Anolis sagrei: one gene and its partner. The protein of the gene in region 1 interacts with the protein of each later gene in a pairwise test. Links are inferred from orthologs where the notes say so. Each region holds a gene or a part of one and is shown on either strand. Other genes may lie near its edges.

The links.
Region 2: the proteins of SH2B1 (region 1) and NTRK1 interact in a two-hybrid assay, tested with the Homo sapiens proteins (2 studies listed by BioGRID). The link is inferred for Anolis sagrei from reciprocal best matches to the Homo sapiens genes SH2B1 and NTRK1.

The regions. Positions count from the first base shown.
Region 1 is NC_090026.1:22,730,196-22,743,230, reverse strand, and holds the start of SH2B1 (SH2B adapter protein 1), read right to left. Parts: upstream 6,276-13,035; 5' UTR 6,146-6,275; intron 3,355-6,145; 5' UTR 3,278-3,354; coding exon 2,426-3,277; intron 2,254-2,425; coding exon 2,152-2,253; intron 1-2,151. UniProt on the Homo sapiens protein: Adapter protein for several members of the tyrosine kinase receptor family.
Region 2 is NC_090032.1:10,580,769-10,593,429, forward strand, and holds the start of NTRK1 (high affinity nerve growth factor receptor), read right to left. Parts: upstream 6,201-12,661; 5' UTR 6,072-6,200; coding exon 5,872-6,071; intron 1-5,871. UniProt on the Homo sapiens protein: Receptor tyrosine kinase involved in the development and the maturation of the central and peripheral nervous systems through regulation of proliferation, differentiation and survival of sympathetic and nervous neurons.

The DNA of each region.
Region 1 (13,035 bases):
CTGTATGCCATCTTTCAGAGGAAGGAACTAGCAAAACTACTTCTGAATATCCTTCCCTAAGAAAAACTTATGAAATTCATAGGGTCACCATAAATTGATGGGAGACTTGAAAAGAAAGTACACACATAAACCTTTGCTAGCCCCCTTTCCTGATGTACGTTTTCACAGGCTGAATTTCCCATTCTTTGTTTTAGTATGAAAACAACACTAGCCCATACAAGCCTTCAATGAAGATACGTTTTTTACAACATGAATTGGCAATAACATGCTTATTAACAGAGGAACATTATTCACAGAATGCAAACTACTAATTTCCGATTTATTTATTTATTTGCCTTATTTCTACCCTGCCTTTCTCAACCCCAAGGGGGACTCAAGGCAGCTTACATACAGGCAATTATTCAATGCCTTAGAGCAACATACAATTCCAATAATATTAAAATTAAATTAAAATTTAATACATATTAAAAACATTACATTCAATATTAATTTCACTATGGTGCAATTCCCATTGCAGGAGGGAAATAATTAATTGCCTCCATCTTAGCTGCTCAGCTTATCAGCCACATAGGTCCAAAAAAGTGTTCAGAAGAACTGTGTCATTTTTGCTGATGGTGGGGACAAAACCAGCAGTGAAAGTTTAGAGAACCAAAAGCCTGTATACTTGTTACCTCTCAAAGGCCACAGCTCTGACTTCATCACCAACAATTACCAATGAGGGAGAGTCTCTTTCCTGTAGTTTTATTTAGGACCCTTTCACACAGCCATATAATCCAGAATGTCAGGGCAGAAAATCCCACAATATTTGCCTTGAACTGGGTTATTTGAATCCACAATGCCATATATTCAAGTTCAAAGCAGGAAAAGTGGGATTTTATTCAGCTGTGTGGAAGGGGCCCTAAATGCACCAACTGGCTCTTCCACAGGGTAATTTCTCAGGCATGGTGAATGCTTTTTACTCTCCCAAACACCAACTCCTGTATCTGGGTAAGTGCAACTTTGCCACTGCTCTTGAGAAATTAAACCTAGCAAGTGCTGCGGTGCCAGCAATAACAAACAAATATGCATGAAACTCCTAAGACCCAGAAAATATTACTTTTATCTTCTGCAGATTAAAATGTGTGATAAATTAAAATAAATAACTTAGATATATTTTTGAGATCTTCACCAAGTTCATTTTAATGAGGGTTATTTTCCTGTGCCTTTGAGGCCCGTGTCTTATTAGGCCCAGAAGTCTTATTATTTTTAGAGCAGGAAAGGTGGCCTTTTAAAGGAATGCAACTATCACATTACAGCAGAACCTACTGAATCCTTACTTGGCTACAAGTTCACATAAAATGTGCAAAATGTTTTTTCACATTCAGCTTCCCTTAAGAAAAACACTGGCCTCCAATCATCCCAAAGGCACAGGAAAATCACCCTCATCAAAATGACCAAGATATTGTTGGAGCAGAAGAGATAGAATGGGATAAAAATAAAGTTATTATTAACTGGATCTTTCCTGAAGAAAAGCAAGAGGCAAGAAAACAATTACTAAAAGCACAGTCCAGCCATTGCCACTTGTACTGTCAGCTGGCGAAAAGAACTCTAGTTTTATCTCAGGAAAACAATTCCATGGACCACTTTGTTATGTATAAATTGGTGAAAGATTTGGTGTACAATTTCCACTGTTCCAATTATTACTGAATAGGTTTAAAACTTAAATTGACAACACAGTGCCCACTACCAGTATTGGATTACGAGACCCTGTAAATGTGGACACTGGTAGGAAATAAATTTATTGTAAAAAAAAAAAAACCATCTGAACAGCACCAGGATGCCTTCTGATGGCTTGGGATGCATGGGCTTTTGAAACTTGCTTGAAATATATTAGGCTCTTAATCAGACTGCAAAGCTTTAGCTTTAAATAAAATTGAAGGCAATTTATGGATTTTATCTGTTAATTTTTTAATACCATTGAGGCTTTATTCTGCTTAATGTTTGTATAATCCAATGTTGTTTGGATTTCAAATTGTATTGAAATGCTTTATGCAAGCCACTTTGAGTCTTCTTTGTGGAGAGAAAAAGTGGGGTATAAATAAAAAGAATAGTAATACAAATCTTAAGACATTACTGCTCTGCCTGTACCCAAACTCATCTTTTTTTTCCTACCTTGAGCACAAATGTGTTCTCCTTGTCTGGCATTTCCAGGGGAGTAGTTGTCCGCACATCTACTACACAGGAGCAGGCAATACTGACCCGTGGCTTTGATGCCTAGCAGTTGAAAAGATTGGGGGACAGAGAGAGAGAGAAATGTAATAACACCCCCAGTCTGAAACAAGGAATCCCTGGAATATCTTGGTTCCCGCAACCACCTCTTAATGGTTATACCCATTCTCTGCCCTCCCCTCTCCTACTCCATTGCATCTAGAGACCCACTGCTTACCTTTGGTGGGATGTAGAACTCCAACAGGTACCCCTCTCCCTCCCCTTTCCCTGCTTTGCGCAGGAGAAGACGGCATTTCTGCCAGCGTGTCCGACTACCCCCGCCTGACCCATCGTCAGCCACAATGTAGTTCAGTAAGCCCTCACGCCTCACACTGGCCAGTTCCACTCGAAGAGTGGCCGGGGTGGCTTTGTTGAGCCGCAGACGCTCAAATCGGTGAGTCCAGCGATCAGAGTCACCACCCCCTGAAGAGTTGGAATTACTGTTGGCTCCTGTCCCTGCCCCGTCTCCACCCCCAGGGGACGAGTCAGCTGACGTCTTCCACTGCAGGATGCCACGGACACTGCCACGGACACTGCGGCTCACATTGCGCAACGAAAAGCGCTTCTTCAGCTTTGGTTTGGTGGCGGTCACTGCTGTCACGGTAGAAACATCCTCAGAGCTGCGGGACTGGCTGCTGGAGAGTCCAGAAGGTGGCCCAAGGGGAGGCTCCACGGGTGAGGCCACTGACGAGTCACTGCAGGTCTCTGAGAGGTCACGGGCAGAGGAACAGCCAGTAAAGGGGGCGATGTCACAGCGAGGTGGCGAATCACTGGCATAAACCCGGCTCACTTCGGCCTCAAAATGCTCCAGGAAGTGCTCAGCAAAGCGACGTGAGAAGGCGGCTTCGGCTCCTGGAGTGGCAAACTGTGGGTTCTCAGCCAAGAAGGCCCGAAAACGACGAGCAAAATCCACAGCGGCAGCCCGAGCATGCACCTCACAGAATTCCCGCCAACCTGGTGAGGGGAGAGAGGCAGGTTCACCCAGCATCCCTCCCCCAACCGGGGACAGGGGAACTGCACTCCCATTCATGATTGCCCAGGTGGGGCCAGGTGCCAACACATCCAGCGCCAGAACTGGGCTCCTACTGGTACCAATGGCCTTGTGACCTGCAGAGGAAATAACAGAGAGACTGTGATGAAAGTACTTGAATGAAATGATCTGGTCAAGTACTTGCTGCTTCTGTCTGTGACAGAGAGAGATGATAAAACCCTATGAAAGGACCACACCATACAAACAGCCCCATGTTTGATAAGCTCTCACTCAGAGTCATAAATCTGTATTTAGTTACTAAAAGGTTTCATGGGAAAACCCAGCCTATCTAATACCACACAAAACTCTTAATAGTTAATCTGGCACTTGCTAAAATATAAGCCTATCTAATTGCTTATAGTAAACTGTCAGTCTTAAAATATAAGAGTAAACATCACACAGCATATTCACTAAAGCAGTGGTTCTCAACCTGTGGGTCCCCAGGTGTTTTGGCCTACAACTCCCAGAAATCCCAGCCAGTTTACCAGTTGTTAGGATTTCTGGGAGTTGAAGGCCAAAACATCTGGGGACCCACAGGTTGAGAACCACTGCACTAAAAGGTTGTATAGTGAGTTTTTCCATACTTTAATATGGATTGGAGACTTCAGTCTGTGAAGTACACAAACAGGAAGGGTGGTTGACAAAGGGTTGTGTTTGTACATGCATCCAAGTTGACTGTTGACCTATGGCAAGGGATTATCAGAAGTAATTTTGCCAGTTCCTCCTCCCAGAATAAAGCAAATAATAATAATAATAATAATCTTTATTTATACCCCGCCACCATCTCCCCGACTCGGGGCGGCTAACATGAGGCCAAGCCCATATAAAAATACAATACAACACAGTAAAATACAGAATACAAACCAAAAATGCATCAGGAAATAAATTACAATAACAAAATGAAATAATAAGACAATATAAAATCGAATAGGATGGGCAGGATCTTTCAACTTGTAAAATATTGCCCCTTCATATGGGAAGACACCATCTTAATACTCCCATCTCTTCCTTTTGAAAAGATTCAGCCACTTTAGTAATGTTTTATAGTATGCAAATTCTTCCACTTGGTCCTTCTTGGAACTGCATTTGAAATTACAAGCTGTTCAATTTGCCAGTTGAGTGCTTTCCTAAACAGAATCAAAAGTATTCAGATAGCGTACACTGATGACACTATCTTTTCTTGGGCAACTAGACTGGCTGTTTTTTGGTCTTTCCCGTTATCAGGTGAATCTTGTTGTATTCAATGGCCTCTCTAACTGTTTCTAGGGGAAAAGCTTTCAAGTGGAATTGGAAGAATAGACACTCTTTACAGAAGGCCAGCAGATGGGAACATGGCACAAACAGTGTGACAACACAGAGGCCCTGCCACACAGCTGAATAAAATCCCACATTATCTGCTTTGAACTGGAATATATGCTAATGTGGACTCTGATAAACAGATATTGTGGGAGTTTCTACCTTGATATTCTGGGTTATATGACTTTGTGGAAGGGCCCTGAGATCATCTCTTATCCAAATGTTTTCGAGAAGTATTTTGGATTTTTCCAGATTTTGGAATGTCTGTATTTACAAACATGACATATCTTGAAAATGGGACCCATTTCTACACATGAGAATTAGACCCCTTCTACACTGATTTACAAAATCCAGACTATCTGCTTTGAACTGGGGGCCCTTCCACACAGCCATATAACCCTGAATATCAAGGCAGATAATCCACAATATTTACTTTGAACTGGAGGCCCTTCCAGACAGGCCCTATATCCCAGGTATTTTACTTTAATTTGAATCATATGAGTCTGCACTGCCAGATAATCTGAGGGAAACAGAAAACTTAGGATCAGATCCTGGGATATAGAACCTGTCTGGAAGGGCCCTGAGTTATGAGTCTACATTGCTATATATTCTATTTCAAAGCAGATAATATGGGATTTTATTTAGCTGTGTGGAAGAGACCCAAATTATGTTTCTCTTACACAAAGCCCAGGCCCGTAGCCAGGATTTTGATTCGGGGGAGGGGGGGGCTGAGTCTGAGTGAAAGAGGGTCTACCCTAGCAAAAAAATTTGTATCATTACCCCAATACCCCCATGCATATGAAGATATATTGAACATGGTGATCAGATCATGATATGAATAAACATAACAGTTTAAATAATGTACCAGTAAGGCCTTTACGCGGACCACCCTGAGAATTGGGGGGGGGGGCTGGGGGGCTTCAGCTACATGCCTGACAAAGCGTGAAGGTAATTTTATACTCAATTCTATGCATGAAATAAAGCTTGTGAGCACTGAAACACCAGAAAGGAAATGTGTTGATATCTCTGCCCTCCATGTAGATATTTTTGGATTATTTCAGGTTTCCCAATAAGAGATAATTCCCTTCTGGTGTGTAAGAGCGACTTAAGGGCCCTTCCACATGGTAAATAATACGGAATATCAAGTCAGACAATCCACAATGGGTTATCTGAGTCCACACTACCATATAATCCAGTTCAATGTGGATTTTATACTGCTTTGTGGAAGAGGCCTGAGAAAGGCCAGGAGGAGAAGAGAGAGCACAAAGTTGGGGTCTGCCTTTCATGCGTCTCTCGGGTGACAAGAGGCTGGCTCTGCACTGCAGAATGAATGCAACGTGACACCGCTTCAACTGCCATGGCTCCATGCCATGGAATCACGAGAGATGTAGTTTCACAAGGCTTTGAACCTTCCCTGCCAAAGAGGGCTGGGGCCTCCCCAAAGGACAACTAGCATGGAGCCGTGGCAGTCAAAGCGGTGTCAAAACGCATCAATTCGACAGTGTGGATGGAGAAGAGAGGGGAAGACCAAGGACCCGGGCCTGGCTGGGTCTCGGCGCGCTCGGCACTCACCATCCCGGCCTGGGGTGCCTTCCAGGAGGGAGGAAGGGAGGAAGGAAGGCTTCGCCTGGCCGCCTCTCGCTCCCTCTCCCCCTGTCGCTCTCGCGCGAAACTTCCGCTTCCGGGTTTCCGCTGGTCACGCGACGTTGTTTTCTTCCTTTCACTTCCGTCCTCGTCATCCAGGCGACAACAAGGATACTCTCACGTATACTATAGAGAGGACGCGTCCTGGAGGCTAGAACGGCGGCCGTCAGCCATTGGCTCAGGCGGGCGCGGTGTTACCATGGCAACGGGCATGACGTAGGGTCCTTGGATGCTAAACGGGGAGGGGGCTTGGCTTCCTTGTTGCTAGGGAAACGGAGCCAATGCGGCACCCTTCTTCCACAAGGCCATGCTGATGATCTTGGGAGGAAATCCAGGTGTACAAACTCAGGCCCAGATTATCTGCTTTTAACTGGATTATATGTCAGTGTAGACTGAGGCTCCTTCCACAGCTGAATAAAACCCCACATTTTCTGCTTTGAAATGGAATATATGGCAGTGTGGCCTCAGATAACCCAGTTCAAAGCAGATATTATGGGATTTTCTGCCTTGATATTCTGGGTTACATGGCTGTGTGGAAGGGCTCCAGTCACTGGAACAGAACCCCCCCCCCCCCCCCAACCTAACTGGGGGCCCTTCCACACAGCCTTATATCCCAGAATATCCGGGCAGGAAATCCCACATTGTCTGAGTGTGGCCTCAGATAACCCAGTTCAAAGCTGATATTCTGGGATATAGGGCTGTGTAAGAAGGGCCACTTATTTTTTTATTTCCTATATTTATACCCCGCCCTTCTCCCCCCCCCCCCCCCCCCCCCAAAGGAGACTCAGTTATATGGATTTTATTCAGCTGTGTGGAAGGGACTCCGGGTCGAAGCAGATATTGTGGATTATATACCTTGATATTCTGGATTGTATGGCAGTGTAGAAGGGCCCAGAATATCTAGATTAGGACCCCTTATATAATAATAATAATAATAATAATAATAATAATAATAATAATAATCTTTATTTATATACCACTCCATCTCTCTGAGGGGATTCAGAGTGGTTCCCAAGTAATATCACAAAACATACAGAGTAAAAACAACATAACCATAAGATTAACAAACAAAATATAAACATAAAAATTGTCGCCATACATATATTAATATATTAAATGCACATATATTAAAAGTAATCCTGCCTGTTCAAGACAATTAAAAATGTAAAAGGGTCAAGATTTGTGCTAGCCCAAAAATTCTAGGGGGCCCGGGAATTAAGTGCAATGCTATGGCAGGCAACAATAACGCATAGCTGTATAAAATCCACATTGAACTGGAATATATGGCAGTGTAGACTTAGGGCCCTTCCACACAGCCCTATATCCCAGAATATCAAGGCAGAAAATCCCACAATATTTGCTTTGAACTGGGTTATCAGAGTCCACAGATAATATGGGATTTTCTGTCTTGATATTCTGGGATATAGGGCTGTTTGGAATGCTCTCAGATAACTCAGGGCCCTTCCAGACAGGCCCAATATCCCAGGATCTAATCCCAGGTTTTCTGTTTATCCCAGATTACCTGACAGTGCAGACTCATATAATTCAAATTAAAGCAGAAAACCTGGGATCACATCCTGGAATATAGGGCCTGTCTGGGAGGGCCCTAAGGCCTCTTCTACACTGCCTTATAATCCAGATTATCAAATCAGATCCAGGTTAGAGCTATGCAGTCGAATATTCTATGACCAGACCCCAGATTATGAGTCTATACTGCAAGATAATCTGGGATAAGAATATAATCTGAAATCAGACCCTGGGATGTAGGGCACTGTAAATCCAGCCCCAGTTTATCTTCTTTGAACTGGATTATCTGACGGCTCTTCCACACAGTCCTATATCCCAGAATATCAAGGTGGAAAATCCCACAATATCTGCTTTGAACTGGGTTATTTGAGTTCACACTCAGATAATGTGGGATTTTCTGCCTTGATATTCTGGGATACAGGGCTATGTGGAAGGGCCCTGATTCTACACTGCCATATAATCCACTTCAAAGAAGATAATCTGTAGAAGGGCCTAATTGTATGTACACTGTAGATTTAATGCAGTTTGACACCACTTTAGCTTCTGTGGTTCAATGCTGTGGAATCCTGGGAGCTGTAGTTGGTGAGACACCAGCACTCTTTGGCAGAGAAGGCTGAAGATCTTGGCCCCTTCCACACAGCCCTATATCCCATAGTATCAAGGCAGAAAATACCACAATATCTGTTCTGAACTGGGTTATCTGAGTCCATACTCAGATAATGTGGGATTTCCTGTCTTGATATTCTGGGATATAGGGCTGCGTGGAAGGGCCCAAAATCCCACATTTTCTGCTTTAACTGAAAATATGGCAGTGTAAACTAGATATCCCAGTTCAAAGCAGATATTGTGAGATTTTCTGCCTTGATATTTTGGGTTATATGCTATGTGAAAGCGCAAAAGCCGGGTTGCAGCTAAACATAAAAAAAAAAACCAAGATTATGGCAACAAGAATGATTGACAACTGGAAAATAGAGGGAGAAAATGTGGAGGCCATGACAGATTTTGTATTTCTAGGTGCAAAGATTACTGCAGATGCAGACTGTGGCCAGGAAATCAGAAGACACTTACTTCTTGGGAGAAGAGCAATGTCCAATCTCGATAAAATAGTAAAGAGTAGAGACATCACACTGGCAACAAAGATCCGTATAGTCAAAGCCATGGTATTCCCTGTAGTAACCTACAGATGTGAGAGCTGGACCTTAGGGAAGGCTGAGCGAAGGAAGAGGTGCTTTTGAGCTGTGGTGTTGGAGGAAAGTTCTGAGAGTGCCTTGGACTGCGAGAAGATCCAACCAGTCCATACTCCAGGAAATAAAGCCCGACTGCTCATTGGAGGGAAGGATACTAGAGACAAAGTTGAAGGAGACAGGAAAGCCTAGAGAAGACAATTATGCTGGGGAAAGTGGAAGGTAAAAGGAAGAGGGGCCGACCAAGGGCAAGATGGATGGATGGCATCCTTGAAGTGACTGGACTGACCTTGAAGGAGCTGGGGATGGTGACGGCCGACAGGGAGCTCTGGCGTGGGCTGGTCCATGAGGTCACGAAGAGTCGGAGACAACTGAACGAATGAACAACAACAACATGCTATGTGGAAGAGCCCCGTATAAAATGACAAATCCCAGGATTTCCTAGCAGTGGGCCATGACAGTTCATGTGCTGTTAGACCACATTAATTCGACAGTGTGAATGCCCTCCAGAGAAGCAACAGCCCTGCCCAGTACTTTTAACAGTCTCTCATTTGTAGATTTGCCATAGCTTGGGCTTCCTCGCAATTAAAAACATCAATCCACCTAGCAATAAAGAGAGAACTGCAGTCGATTTAGCCAGAGCCTTCATTCCATACAATTGTGAGTGGCTGTAATGATCCTAAAAGAGAGAGAAAGACTTTTTCAGTGAAGCCAGATGCACAGCCCAGAAGGGTTCATGCACTTTTGACCATGATCAAGGTACTATATGTTCACTGACTCTCATAGAACCACCTGACATTGGTACATTCAAGAATGCAGGAGCATTCAGTAGTCTGCATCTAATTGTCAGTGAGGTGGGAGCTTTGCCTCAACACTGGCATTCCAGTCTGGAGGAAAATACACTTTTAAAAAGGTCAGTTCAGTCTCCTGAAGGGCTCCAGGAGCATTGGGCTTACCAGAAATACCTCCTAACATCAGTCTTCCTTATAGCATTGCTAGGACTATGAAGATTTCCCAATTTAGAGATTAAGATAGAGCAGTGTGTGTTTCCCTTTCAAACAATTAATAAAATGTTCGCTTTCTCAGACTGACATCTCATGAACCTTACACATAGCTGTATAAAATCCACATTGAACTAGATTATATGGCAGTGTGGACTCAAATAACCCCGTTCAAAGCAGATATTGTGGATTATCTGCCTTGATATTCTGGGTTATATGACTCTGTGGAAGGGCCCTCAACTTGTTAGAGTTTGATAGTGGATTTTTATGACTGGAATTTCCAAGGCAATATGCATATTAAGTATTCTAAGGATAGAAATATTAGCCATGCATTCTTGGGGAGAAAAAAATATTTTGCAAAGTCTTCATCTTTTTGCAAAGATTCCACCACAGAACCTCCTAAGAAGAGAGTGACAGAAGACCAGAGAACTAGAAATGCCCGTATCCCATCCTAACATCTCACCTGAATTCTGCAGAGAGCTGTATACTAGGTGTGTTATGAACAGGAATACTTCATTCTAAGGCGCCTTCTCATTGCCATATAATCTAGATTAGCAAATCAGACAACCCAGGGCCCCTCCAAACAGCCATATAACCCAGAATATCAAGGCAGATAATCCACAATATCTGCTTTGAACAGGATTATCTGAGTACACACTACCATATAATCCAGTTCTATGTGGATTTAATACCACTTTGTGGAAGGGCCCACAGATTATCTGCTTTGAACTGGATTATATGAGTCTACATTGTCATACAATCCAGTTCGAAACAGATAATCTGTATTTTATTTCACAGTGTAGAAAGGGCCTACGCTTTATCCAGAGTTTAATTCCCCAGTGAGGTATGAAATTTAGGCTGCTTCTACACTGCTGTATAATACAGATTATCAAAACAGAAAATTAAGATTATCTGCTTGAAACTGGATAATGAGTCTACAGATGGATACCAAGGACCTAGAACCAGAGACTAGGGCTCCTTCCACACTGCTATATAAAATCCAGATTATCTAATTTTAACTGGATTACATGGCACTGTAGTTTCACATAATCCAGTTCAAAGCAGATGTGGATTATCTACTTTGATAATCTGGAGTATATGGCAGTATAGACGGGGCCTAGGGAAACATTTTTTTTTGTTTTGGAATCTCTCGTGGTTGCTGAAATATTCTGGGAGCTGCACTCAAAAAAACAATTTGATATTTCTATACTCTGTCGTGAGCAATTTCTCTCTTGCAGAATACAATAAAAACATTTAAGGAGATACCAAAGTCCATCCATTCAGCTTTTATGTATGGAATGACAGAGGGGCTGCCGTTTCTTTCCTTATTTCATGCAGCAGAATTTTGAGCCAACCTTGCTGCCTGTGCAGAGAGAGACAGAAGTGTGGCCGGAAAGTACTACAATGTAAGAAATTAGCATGTGTTCCACCATTATGCAGTATTAAAGGTGAACAAAAGGATAAACATTTTCTGGGTGTGTGACCTACTTCCAACTTGTAATGAACTGCCAGAGCTAGAGTATGCAAATTGCTAACAGGGATAATTCACTTCCTTCCTGTGAACTGTCAATTTCTATTCAGCGGAAATCTGCATATGATTACAAGGCTTCACATAAGAGTTTCCTTTGATTATTCGTGGCAGCTTTCATTTCTATTACTGTTATTGATATCCCGCTTTTCTCAAAAAAGCGTAAAGAGGTTCACAGTTTTAAAGAACCATACAACTAAAACACATATAAAGTTAATATTTAAATAGAATTAAGCTACCCATACCATTAAAACAATGTACATCTCAAATTAAATTATTAAAGTGCAGTTTTTTAAAAAAAAAACTTCTATATTTTTTAATTAATGCAGTTTGACACTGATTTAACGGTTGTGGCTCAATACTACAAAATTATGGTGATGCAGCGACAACCTTAAGAGTTTTTGTTTAACAAGATCTTTAGCTTTCCCTGCCCAAAATGCTGGTGCTTTGCCAGCCTACAACCCCCATATCCATATCACTGCACCACCCCACTCAACACTCAGTGTTGTGGGTTCTGGGTGGGTTTTGTCCTCATTTGACTGTTTTGTGGTGCATGCTTTCCTGCAGCCCTGAAGTTTTCCCAAGCCAGCTGATATTCCTTTATTTGAGCTTCACAGAAATCTGTACTCGGAGATCAAATTGTCAGAATGGGGTCAGACGTCAGAGACAATATACATTTGCTTATAATAGGTCAACTGAGAATCTCCATAGGAGACATTTTTCTGTTTAAAGGACTGTCACAGAACTGCCTTCTGCTTGAAGTGCTGTCCACTCCAGTTTCGAAACAAAGATCCATGGGAAGAAGTAGAGACCTTCATGTTTCCCATCATCACATGGACAGCAGATTTCATAGACTTGCAGATCTTCCACTCAGATTCTTCCTCACCCTGGTGTAATGTACCAATATATATATATTAGACTTTATTTCTAAATGTATTTCTACACATAAACATTAATATATGAAAATATTGGGCAAACCAATGTTTTCTTTCATCCTGTTTTTTGACAAGGTGTAGGTAACCATTTTAATTTCCAAATAAACTATGTTTATTTAGAAATTAGTTGTGAAGGAAAAAGAGGAGGAGAGGAGGAGGAAGGGGAAGACAGAGCTGATTCTTAGCTTTGCTTTTCTACTTTCTTTCTATTGCTTTTTTTTCCACAGATATTTCTCTTGGCAGTAGGTACTGAAAGCCTCCAGAAGATTTTAAAGACCCAACCGAGAGAGGGAGATGAGCATTAGATCATCTGCATACATCAGGATGAAAATCTTTGTTGCCGATTACTTCTTTCGATTACTGTACTACATAAGCTGAAGCATGGCATATAGGATGCATATTTCAGACGGTACCACCTGACCAATTTGTTTGGTTGCATGCTCTAAGTCACTTGAGAAACAGAAGAATGGCCTGCCTCAGGGAAGCATGCTTGCTCCATCAGAGTTTAACATTTACACAAATGATCAGCCACTGGACAGAGTGTTTCATCTATTCTGATGATCGTGCCATCACCGCCCAAACAGGGAGCTTTGGAATGGTTGAACAGAAGCTCTCTGAAGTTTTATTTGCTCTTACTGCCTAT
Region 2 (12,661 bases), on another chromosome or scaffold:
GTGGGCACAAAGTGGGGTGGGCGCAATGGAAGGGGACACAGAGCTGACCCCTCTTCTGAGTCTCTTTCAAGGCATCGGGAGACTAAAGTCCAAGACCCACACCCTTGGGAGACCCGACTCCTGGCTCCCTGGATTTACCCCTTGAATCATCACAAAAGGGGTGCAAATGGGGATCTGGCCATCCAGGCACCCAGGGGACGCCCAGATGTGATACCATCCTGTGGGAGGCTTCTCTCATGTCCCCACATGGGAAGCTGGAGCTGACAGATAGGAGCTCACTCTGTCTCACACATTTGAACTGTTGACCTTCAGGTCAGCTGTTCAGTTGGCACAAGGGTTTAACCCATTCCACCACCGCAGCTCCCAGCTAAGCAGGGTCATCCTCAATTATTGCTTCTAGGATGGGAGACCATCCGGCCCCAGTAACTGGTCAATATACATTTTGATGCCTCAAATGTTAGCTCTGGGTATATTTGACCTGCTGTTTCCAAAACTGGTACATATTCCTCCTTCTCAGCTCTAGTTTTTGAGATACGAACATATGGCATCTCTCAGCCGCCATCTGCTCACCCATAAGAAATCATGGTAACCATATCTAAGAAACTAGAGCTGGTGGGATCTGTTCAAGGCAATTTTCTGAATCAGTGGCAATCATAATAATAATAATAATAATAATAATAATAATAATATAGATCTCGTTTGCTGTGACATACTGTGCTTTTGTGTCAGTAAAATAATAATAATAATAATAATAATAATAATAATAATAATAATCACAATAATAAACACTGCTGGCTGTTGAATTGGATCACACGTCGGATCCTTCCCAAGTGTCTAGGACTGTGTGATGTATCGGCAAATAATGCGTGCAGATCCCAGTAAGGTGACCTTCTGCAGCTGGCAGATGGTAATTTTGTCAGCGCCGATTGTGTTTAAGTGCAGGCCAAGGTCTTTAGGCACTGCACCCAGTGTGCTGATCACCACTGGGACCACCTTGACTGGCTTGTGCCAGAGTCTTTGCAGTTCAATTTTTAAATCTTCATATCGTGTCAGCTTTACCAGTTATTTCTCTGCAATCCTGCTGTCATCTGGGATTGTGACATCGACAATCCATAATTATTATTGTTATTAATTTGTTATTAATTTTTAATTTCTATATGTATGTATTTCATCTTTTACAATTTAGCTGTAAATCGCCTAGAGCATTCTCGGATGGAGGGCAATTAATAAGTAATTATATATGATATTATTATTATTATTATTATTATTATTAGGACAATTCATTCCACAGTCAAATTATGTTGGTTCTGGCAAAGACAGCTCTTGGTGAAAGTTTGCAAATACCGTCCTTAGACACCAGCTTTGTATTCTTCTTCCTTTCAGACCAGTCTTGCTTCTCTGCCATTTTGTATAGCCCTTGCCCACCCTGCCTTCAACTTCTTGAGATGGGGCCACTTCACCCCTGATGCCAGGACCCCTAAAGGGCATCAGAGCTGGACTCGCTCTCCTCCCATTTGGGAACAGCCCCCCTTCGAGGGGTATTTTGTTAGGAAACCAGCAGCCTCCTATCAAGGAGCAAGCTGGCACAGAACTTGGTGTTTTTGCCACTCCCGTAATTGAGTGGGCACTTGGAGGGCAGCCTTGCGAAGCCACTCAGGGCTTCGAAGAGCCCCATTTGGTGTGCCAGTTGAACCAAGGCATTCTTTCACCTGCCTCGTTCACCAAGTCCACCACTTTCTCCTTTCCAGGAGAGCTGTTTGGACAAGTCAGAGGTTGAGCCATTGGGGCCCAGCTCTTGCCCCTTCAATGTATGCCTTTCTGGCTTCAGTTGTGCCAAAGGAAAAGGTGTGGTTTTAAGGGCAGAGAAAGGAACATCCCTCCCCACTCCCTGGCACTCAGGTGCCCTCCTGCTTTCTCCTGCCTCAACCAACTGGGCCACTGCGCTTAGTAGAGGTAGAATAGATAGATGAGACTATTTCATAATGACACGAACACTGGGCAGGATGGCACAGAAGAGGCAGCATGACTCAGGTGCCACTCCTGGCATCAGGAACCTCAGAGTACGGTGAAAGGGCGGAATAGGAGAAGGAAGAGAAAGAAGGAGGAAGAGAAGAGAAGGAGGAAGAGGAGAAGAGTAGAGAGAGAAGGAGGAAGGAAGAGAGAGAAGGAAGATGAGGAAGAGATTGGCATGGGAGTAGGAAGTGAGAGAAAGAGAAAGAGAAGGAGGAGGAAGAGTAGCATAGGAGCAGGAGGGAGACGGAGGAAGAGGGAAAGAGTGGCATAGGAGCAGGAAGAGAGCAAAAGAGGGAGATTAGATGGAGGAAGATGAGAAGGAGGAAGAAAGGAGTGGCATTGGAGCAGAAAGAAAAAGAAAAGGGTACGGAGGAGAAGGAGGAAGAGGAGAAGAGTAGCATAGGAGCAGGAAGAGAGCAAAAGAGGGAGATTAGATGGAGGAAGAAAGGAGTGGCATTGGAGCAGAAAGAAAAAGAAAAGGGTAAGGAGGAGAAGGAGGAGAAGGAGAAGAGTGGCATAGGAGCAGGAAGAAGGAGAAGTTGAGATAGGAGCAGGAAGAGGGAGGAAGAGGCAGAAAGAGCAGGAAATAGTGGTATAAGAACAGAAAGAAAGAAGGAGAAAGAGGCAAAAAGTGGTATAGGCGCATGAAGAGAGAAAGAGGATGAGGAGAAGGTTGGCATGGGAGCAGGAAGAGAGAGGAAGAGGAGAAGGAGCAGGAAGAGGGGTAAAGAGGAAGAAAAAGAGTGGCATAGGAATAGAAAGAAAAAAAGGAGAAAGAAGGGGAAGGATGAAGAGAAGAAGACTGGCATGGGAGCCGGAAGAGAGAGGAGGGAGAGGAGGAGGAAGAAAAGAAGAATAGCATAGGAGCAGAAAGAAAGGGAAGAAGGAAGAGGGGGAAAGGGGAGAAGGAGGAAGAAGAGGGGGAAAGAGTGGCATGGGGGCAGGAAGAGAAGGTGGAAGAGGGAAAAGGAGGAACATAGGTTGGCATGGGAGCAGGAAGAAGGAGCAGTAGGAAGAAGACGAGAGTGGCATAGGAGCAAGAAGAGAAAAAAGGAGGAAAAGGTGAAGGAGGATGAAAAGAAAATGGCATGGGAGCAGAAAGAGAGAAAAGGAAGAAGAAAAGAAAGTTGCATGGTAGCAAGAAGGGATAAAAGGAGGAAGAGAGAGAAGTTGGAAGAGGAGAAGACTGGCACAAGAGAAGGAAGGGAGAGGAGGAAGAGGAGAAGATTTGCATGGGAGCAGAAAGGAGGAAGAGGGAGAAGGAGGAAGAGGAGAAGACTGGCAGGAGAGAAGGAAAAGGAGAAAGAGAAGATTGGCATGGGAGCAGAAAGGGGTAGAAGGAGGAAGAGAGAGAAGGAGGAGGAAAAGAAAGTGGTGCAGGAGAGAGAAGAGGAAGGAGAAGGAGGAAGAGAAGAAGACTGGCACGAGAGAAGGAAGAGAGAGGAGAAGAGGAGAAGATTGGGATGGGAGCAGAGAGAGAGAAGGGGGAAGAGGAGAAGGCGGAGGAAAAAAGGAATGGCATGGAAGCAGAAAGGGATAGAAGGAGGGAGAGAGAGAAGGAGGAAGAGGAGAAGGCAGCGGAAAAGAAAATGACATAGGAACAGAAAGGGATAGAAGGAGGAAGAGGGAAAAGGAGGAAGAGAAGAACATTGGCAGCATTAGAACAAGAAGAGAGAGAAGGAGGAAGAGAAGAAGACTGGCACGAGTGAAGGGAGAGAGAGGAGAAAGAGGAGAAGATTGGCATGTGAAAAGAAAGTGGCATAGAAAGAGACAGAAGGAGGAAGAGGGAAGAGTCGGAAGAGGAGAAGATTGTCAGCATGAGAGCAGAAAGAGAGAGAGAAGGAGAAAGAGGAGAAGACTGGCATGAGAGAAGGAAAAGGAGAAAGAGAAGATTGGCATGGGAGCAGAAAGGGGTAGAAGGAGGAAGAGAGAGAAGGAGGAAGAGGGAAAAGGATGAAGAGGAAAAGATTGGCAGCATGAGAGCAAGAAGAGAGAGAAGAGGGAAGAGAGAGAAGGAGGAAGAGGAGAAGGAGGGCGAAAAGAAGCATGGCATGGGAGCAGAAAGGGGTAGAAGGAGGAAGAGGGAGGAGGAGGAAGAGGAGGAGGAAAAGAAAGTGGCATAGGAGCAGAAAGAGAGAGAAGAAGGAAGAGGGAAAAGGAGGAAGAGGAGATTGGCATCATGAGAGCAAGAAGAGAGAGAAGGAGGAAGCGAGAGGAGGAAGAGGAGAAGGAGGGCGAAAAGAAGCATGGCATGGGAACAGAAAGAGGGAGAAGGAGGAAGAGGGAAAAGGAGGAAGAGATTGGCAGCATGAGAGCAAGAAGAGAGAGAAGAAGAGAAGGGGGGGGGGGTAAAAAAAAGAATGTCATGGGACCAGAAAGGGATAGAAGGAGGAAAAGGGAAAAGGAGGAAGAGGAGAAGATTGGCAGCATGACAGCAAGAAAAGAGAGAAGGAGGAAGAGGAGAAGGCAGAGGAAAAAAGAATAGCATGGAAGCAGAAAGGGATAGAAGGAGGGGGGAGAGAAGGAGGAAGAGGAGAAGGCAAAGGAAAAGAAAGTGGCATAGGAGCAGAAAGAGAGAGAAGGAGGAAGAGGGGAAACTGGCATGAGAGAAGGAAAAGGAGAAAGAGAAGATTGGCATGGGAGCAGAAAGGGGTAGAGAGAAGGAGGAAAAGGCGGAGGAAAAAAAGAATGGCATGGAAGTAGAAAAGGATAGAAGGAGGGAGGGAGAGAAGGAGGAAGAGGAGAAGGCAGAGGAAAAGAAAGTGGCAAAGGAATAGAAAGAGAGAAAAGGAGGAAGAGGAGAAGACTGGCATGACAGAAAGAAAAGGCGAGAGAGAAGATTGGCATGAGAGCAGAAAGAGGCAGAGAGAAGGAGGAAGAGGAAAAGGAGGATGAAAAGAAAGTGGCATAGGAGCAGAAAGAGAGAGAAGGAGGAAGAGGAGAAGGAGGGCGAAAATAAGAATGGCATGGGAGCAGAAAGGGGTAGAAGAAGGAAGAGGGAGGAGGAGGAAGAGGAGGAGGAAAAGAAAGTGGCATAGGAGCAGAAAGAGAGAGAAGAAGGAAGAGGGAAAAGGAGAAGGAGGAGAAGGTTGGCATGGGAGCAGAAAGAGATAGGAGGAAGAGAGAGAAGGAGGAGGAGGAGGCAGAGGAAAAGAAAGTGGCATAGAAGCAGAAAGAGAGAGAAGGAGGAAGGGGAAAAGTCGGAAGAGGAGAAGATTGTGGCAGCCTGAGAGCCAGAAGAGAGAGAAGGAGGAAGAGGAAAAGGAGAAGACTAGCATGAGAGAAGGAAAAGGAGAAAGAGAAGATTGTCATGGGAGCAGAAAGGGGTAGAAGGAGGAAGGGAGAGGAGGGAGAGGAGGAGAAAAAATGGCATGGAAGCAGAAAGAGAGTGAAGGAGGAAGAGGGAAAAGGAGGAAGAGGAGAAGATTGGCAGCCTGAGAGCAAGAAGAGCAAGAAGGAGGGAGAGAGAGGAGGAGGAAGAGGAGAAGGAGGGCGAAAATAAGAATGGCATGGGAGCAGAAGGGGTAGAAGAAGGAAGAGGGAGGAGGAGGAAGAGGAGGAGGAAAAGAAAGTGGCATAGGAGCAGAAAGAGAGAGAAGGAGGAAGAGGGAAAAGGAGGAAGAGGAGAAGACTGGCAGCATGAGAGCAAGAAGAGAGAGAAGGATGAAGAGGAGAACATTGTCATGAGAGAAGGAAAAGGAGAAAGAGAAGATTGGCATGGGAGCAGAAAGAGAGAGAAGGAAGAAGAAGAGGAGGAGGAGAGTGGCCCAAGAGCAGAAAGGAGAAAGAAGAGGAGCCGGGCAGAAGGAGTCCCCCCCCCCGGGGGGGGGGGCATGCCCATCCCTGGGTGCTGCTCACATTTCGGTGAAGTTCTCCAGGCTACGGAGCTGGGCGAGGCTCCGGATGGTGTTGGGCTCCTGGCAGAGGAGGCTGTTGAGGTAGCAGCGGCATGGCTCCAGGCAGGGCGAGGGGGTGGCGGGGGGCGGCAGGGGCATCAGCCAGGCCAGCAGGCACAGGGCCAGCCCCGCCCGGCCCCAGGGCGCCCTCCTCGCCTCCATCCAGACCCCCAGTCTCAGTGGTCCATGGGGCACAGCCCTTCCCTCCCTTCAGCTCCCCAGAGCATCCCTGCCTCTCTCTCTCTCTCTGCCAAGCAGGGCACCTCTGCCTCCCGATGCCTGCCGCTGCATTTAAAGGGCAAAGGGGGAGGAGCCTCCCACACACACTGGCCACGCCCCCTCCCCACTCCCCAGGACCCTCTCTCTAGGGATGGACCCAGAGAGAGAGAGAGCAGGCTGCCATGGCCCCTCTCTAGGTAGAGCCAGGGCACTGGGACTGGCATCCCATTCTAATTATTATTATTATTATTATTATTACTATTACTATTATTAGAAACACAACAAGATGTGTCCAGAGCAGACACTCTGCTGGCTGTTTTATTGGATCACACGTCGGACACTTCCCAAGTGTCTAGGACTGTGTGATGTATCGGCAAACAATGCGTGCAGATCCCAGTAAGGTGGCCTTCTGCAGCTGGCAGATGGTAATTTTGTCAGTGCCGATTGTTTTTAAGTGCAGGCCAAGGTCTTTAGGCACTGCACCCAGTGTGCCGCTCACCACTGGGACCACCTTGACTGGCTTGTGCCAGAGTCTTTGCAGTCCAATCTTTAAATCCTCATATCGTGTCAGGTTTTCCAGTTGCTTCTCTGCAATTATTATTATTATTATTATTATTGTTATTATTATTTAATCCTTTTCTATGGCACACAGCAAACAGAGGAATTGATCAGCAACTGAACATACTAGAGAGGTTTAGGGAGAATTCACCACAAATTATAGGAATTGGAGGTACTGGGATGTATAGTTCACCTGCAATCAATGAACATTCAGAACTCCACCAATGATGGACCTGGAACTAGCTTGGCACACAGAACCCCCATGACTAACTCAACCTACTAGAGAAGTTCGAGGGGATTGAACTTGACCACGGTGGTCCACGCTCTGGTTACATTCTGTATAGACTACTGCAACGCTCTCTACGTGGGATTGCCTCTGAAGACTGCCTGGAAGCTTCAACTAGTCCAACGAGTGGCAGCCAGATTATTAACAGGAGCAGGGTACAGAGAGCATACTACTCCTCTGTTGCGGCGGCTGCCAATTAGCTTCCGAGCACAATTCAAAGTGCTGGTGTTGACCTATAAATCCCTAAACGACTCCGGCCCAGTTTACCTGTCCAAATGGATTCTCCCCTATGAACCATCAAGGTTGTTAAGATCTTCTGGAGGGTCCCTGTTCTCGGTCCCACCACCTTCGCAATCGCGTCTGGTGGGGATGAGGGACAGGGCCTTCTCGGTGGTGGCCCCTCGGCTCTGGAACTCTCTCCCATTAGAGATTAGATCTGCCTCTCCCCTCCTGACTTTCAGAAAGCTGCTAAAAACCTGGCTTTGGAATATAGCATTTGCAGAATGATGATCGAGTCAATAACGGCTGACCACACCGGCGGATGGGGATGAATTTGTGATTTTATTCTGACGACCTGGCTTTTGTAATAGTATGATATTGTATGATCTGTATTTTAATGTAATTTGTATTAATGTATTACGATGCTATTATGTTTACTATATTTGTGTTGAATTTTCTGCTGTTAGCCGGCCTGAGTCTCTCTTCGGAGGTCGAAGAGAGAGGAGATTCCATCTGAACACGAGGAAGAACTTCCTGACTGTGAGAGCCGTTCAGCAGTGGAACTCTCTGCCCCGGAGTGTGGTGGAGGCTCCTTCTTTGGAAGCTTTTAAACAGAGGCTGGATGGCCATCTGTCAGGGGTGATTTGAATGCAATGTTCATGCTTCTTGGCAGAATGGGGTTGGACTGGATGGCCCATGAGGTCTTTTCCAACTCTTTGATTCTATGATTCGAGAAGACCGGGTTATAAAAGCTCTAAATAAATAATAAATAAATAAATTGACTCACTCTAGTGCAGTGTTTCTCAACCTGGGGGTCAGGACCCCTGGAGGGGTTGCGAGGGGGTGTCAGAGGAGTCACCAAAGACCACCAGAAAACACAGTATTTTCTGTTGGTCATGGATGTTCTGTGTGGGAAGTTTGGCCCAATTCAATCCTTGGTAGGGTTCGAATGCTCTTTGATTGTAGGTGAACTATAAATCCCAGCAACTACAACTCCCAAATGTCAAGGTCTATTTCCCCCAAACTCTACTAGTGTTTACATTTGGGCATACTGAGAATTCGTGCCAAGTTTGGTCCAGATCCATCATTGTTTGAGTCTACAGTTCTCTCTGGATGTAGGTAAACTACAACTCCCAAAACTCAAGGTCACTGCCCACCAAACCCTTCCAGTATTTTCTGTTGATCATGGGAATTCTGTGTTTCCCAGTTCGATTCAGTTCTATCGTTGGTGGAATTCAGAATGCTCTTAGATTGTACGTGAACTATAAATCCCAGCAACTACAACTCCCACAGGACAAAATCAATACCCTCCCCCAATCTGTTACTATTCATAACAGCAGCAAAATGAGTTATGAAGTAGCAACGAAACTAATTTTATGGTTGGGGGTCACCATAACATGAGGAAGCATATTAAGGGGTCGTGGCATTAGGAAGGTTGAGAACCACTGCTCTAGTGCGAGTTGTAGTTTACTCTGCAGCCAGAGAGCACACTGGACCCCACCAATGATGCATCCAGAGCAAACTTGCCCAACATAACAATCTTTAAGTACTGATGGGGGGTTAACCTGGCCAGATGGGAGTTGTAGTTCACCCACAACGTTATGCATTTTGCACAATTAATAAATTGACTTTCTCAAATAACCCAGACACCACCAGGTACCCAAGGTAATAATTACAATACAATACAATAAACTACATAACGAAGGATAAACAATAACATAAACAATCAATATAAGACAATAGCAAACAGAATTAACATTAGATTTAAAGCTCCGTATGTAAACATGGCTATCACGTCCCCTCTTAGTCTTTTCTCTCTCTCCAAGCTAAACCTCCCCAGCTCTCTAATTGGTTCCTCAAAGAGTTTGGCTTCCAATGTTTTGATTATTTTGGACACAGTCCAGCTTGTCAATAGTCAGTGCCACTCTTCGCGTGCCCCAGAACACCTTTGGCTTTATCGCGGACTGAAGAAGTCAGGATGGGCTTGAGGACAGGCGGAGGTTGGCTTCCTCCAATTTGTCTCTTACCCTGTGGGCTGGCCACAGATTAGCAGGCCCATTGATTAACCACTCAGTGTTTAATTGATTAATCAATACACCAGCCATATTTACATGCATTTGCATACGGTAAACCAAACACATGAGCTCCCGGTGGTGCAGTGGGGTTAAACCGCTGCTGAACTTGCTGACCAAAAGATCGCACATTCAAATCCAAGGAGCGGGGTGAGCTCCCACTGTTAACCCCAGCTTCTGCAGTTCGAAAACATGCAAATGTGAGTAGATTAATAGATACCACTTCAGCGGGAAGTTAATGGTGCTCCATGTAGTCATGCTAGCCACATGACCTTGGAGGTGTCTATGGATAACGCTGGCTTAGAAATGGAGATGAGCACCAACCCCAGAGTTCAATATGACTGGACTTACCTTGACCTAACCACACATCTCCGAAACACCAAAGGATGCCTCCCATGCATATCCTATCAGGAAAAAATACCCACCATCCAATCATACCTTGTTCCATGAAGGTGTCCCTTATGCTCACCTGAATCCTGGCAAAGGAATTTACAAAAGCTAAAGTACTCGTATTTTTTTGTTACTAATTTATATTTATATTTCAAGAATGAAAATAAGAAAACTGTCCAAAAACTTTTCAGCCAAATGTGTGGGCAGGTAAATATAGCCTGTTTGATGATAGAACCTTTCAGCGGCCAGGCTTTGAAGCTGCAAGACTATTCAATGCTAGTCTTGTGTGTTTTATGGGTTCCATTTAAACATCCTGCTCCTATTTTATCTCATTATAGTCTGTTAATTGGGTTGTTGTAGGTTTTTTTCGGGCTATATGGCTATGGTCTAGAGGCATTTTCTCCTGACGTTTCGCCTGCATCTATGGCAAGCATCCTCAGAAGTAGTGAGGTTTGTTGGAACTAGGAAAAAGGGTTTATATATCTGTGGAATGACCAGGGTGGGACAAAGGACTCTTGTCTGCTAGAGCTAGGTGTGAATGCCTCTAGAACATGGCCATATAGCCCGGAAAAACCTACAACAACCCAGTGATTCCGGCCATGAAAGCCTTCGACAATACATAGTCTGTTAATTGTTTTTATTTGGAATATGTGGCCCGCCCATTGTCATCTCTATTGTGATTGTATCTATTGGAATTATTATTATTATTATTATTATTATTATTATTATTATTATTATGTCATTTTGATAATGTTGTTATTTGTTGTATATGCTTTGATTTTATTGCTGTATTATGTTGTCCGGACTTGGCCCCATGTAAGCAGCTCCGAGTCCCCATCGGGGAGATGGTGGCGGGGTATAAATAAAGTATTATTATTATTATTATTATTATTATTATAGTCTGTATTGTTTTTGCTTATTGCTTGTTGTTTCTATAGATGTGTTGTTGGGCTTGGCCTCATGTAAGCCGCTCCAAGTCCCCTTGGGGAGATGGTGGCAAGGTATAAATAAATTATTGTTGTTGTTGTTCAATGTATTGTCGAAGGCTTTCATGGCTGGAATCTCTCAGTTCTTGTGGGTTTTTTCGGGCTATATGGCCATGTTCTAGAAGCATTTCTAGAAGCAGGCGAAACGTCAGGAGAAATGCTTCTAGAACATGGCCATATAGCCCAAAAAAACCCACAAGAACTGAGAGATTGTTGTTGTTGTTATTATTATTATTATTATTATTATTAGTCAAGGTGGCCAATGGCAACATCCATATTTGCCTCCAACAGAGAATTCATTCTCCCACCCTGGACATCTTTCCACAGATCTATAAACCCCATAGAATCCTACAATCAAAGAGTTGGAAGAGACCTCCTGGGCCATCCAGTCCAACCCCATTCTGCCAAGAAGCAGGAATATTGCATTCAAATCACCCCTGACAGATGGCCAAAAAGTTTAAAAGCTTCCAAAGAAGGAGCCTTCACCAGACTCCAGGGCAGAGAGTTCCACTGCTGAACGGCTCTCACAGTCAGGAAGTTCTTCCTCGTGTTCAGATGGAATCTCTTCTCTTGTAGTTTGAAGCCGTTGTTCCGCGTCCTAGTCTCCATGGAAGCAGAAAACAAGCTTGCTCCCTCCTCCCTGTGCCTTCCTCTCACATTTTTATACATGGCTATCCTCTCAGCCTTCTCTTCTTCAGGCTAAACATGCCCAGCTCCTTAAGCCGCTCCTCATAGGGCTTGTTCTCCAGACCTTTGATCATTTTAGTCGCCCTCTTGCCTCATTTCCAAGAGACCTAACAACTTCTGAAAATGCCTGCCATAGATGAGGGTGAAACATCAGGAGAGAATGCTTCTGGAACATGGCCATACAGCCCGGAAAACTCACAGCAACCCTATGCCAGGTTGGCAACTGACTTTTTGGAGGTGGCTTTTGTGGAAAAGAGAAAGCTCTTTGCCAGGCAAAGCTAGACCCTTTGTGTAAGCCCTCTCCAACCGACCGATATCGGTGCCCCCGTTGATGGCCCGCCTGCTTCTCCTTCTGCTCCTCGTTGCCCCGATTTGCTAGGAAGAGTCCAGTGGGAGCCCCCGAAAGGCTAGTGAGAGTATTAGGGGTCTCCAGAGAGCTCTTGGCCTCCTCTAACAAGCATGGCCGTTGTTGATGGATGGTCCCTTTGGAAGTGGGCACAGATGGGCTCCTGCAGGGAGCGACAACACAGGCCGTACATCAGCAGATGTTGCAGAGGGGCGGGATATGCCTTCTTTTGGATATGCCATGCTCGAGGGCATGCAAAAAGAGACTCAGAATGGGGAGCAAAACAAATCTACTCACCTCTCACTCACTCTATAGAGCAGTGGTTCTCAACCTTCCTAATGCCGCGACCCCTTAATACAGATCCTCATGTTGTGGTGACCCCCAACCATCACATTATTTTCGTTGCTACTCCACAACTGTCCTTTTGCTACTGTTGTGACCTGTAATCTATATAAATAAAAACGTAATATTCGTTTGTGGGATTAACAGAACTCAAAAACCACTGGACGAATTGACGAAAAACTGGAAAGGTTTGGTGGACATTGACATTGAGTTTGGGAATTATAGTTCACCCACATCCAGAGAGCACTGTGGACTCAAACAACGATGGATCTGGACCAAACTTGGCACGAATATCCCATATGCCCAAATATGATGGAGTTTAAGGGAAATAGACCTTGACATTTGGGACACAAGACATCTAACAACCCAAATTGACACCTAACAACCCTAACAACCCATCCTCACTACCTCTGAGGATGCTTGCCATAGATGCAGGCGAAACGTCAGGAGAAATGCCTCTAGAACATGGCCCTATAGCCCGAAAAAACCCACAAGAACCTAGTGATTCCAGCCATGAAAGCCTTCGACAATACATTAAACCCAAATTGATTTTGCGATTTGGGAGTTGTACTTGCTGGGATTTATAGTTCACCTACAAAGAGCATTCTGAACCCCACCAATGATGGAATTGAACCAAACTTAGCACA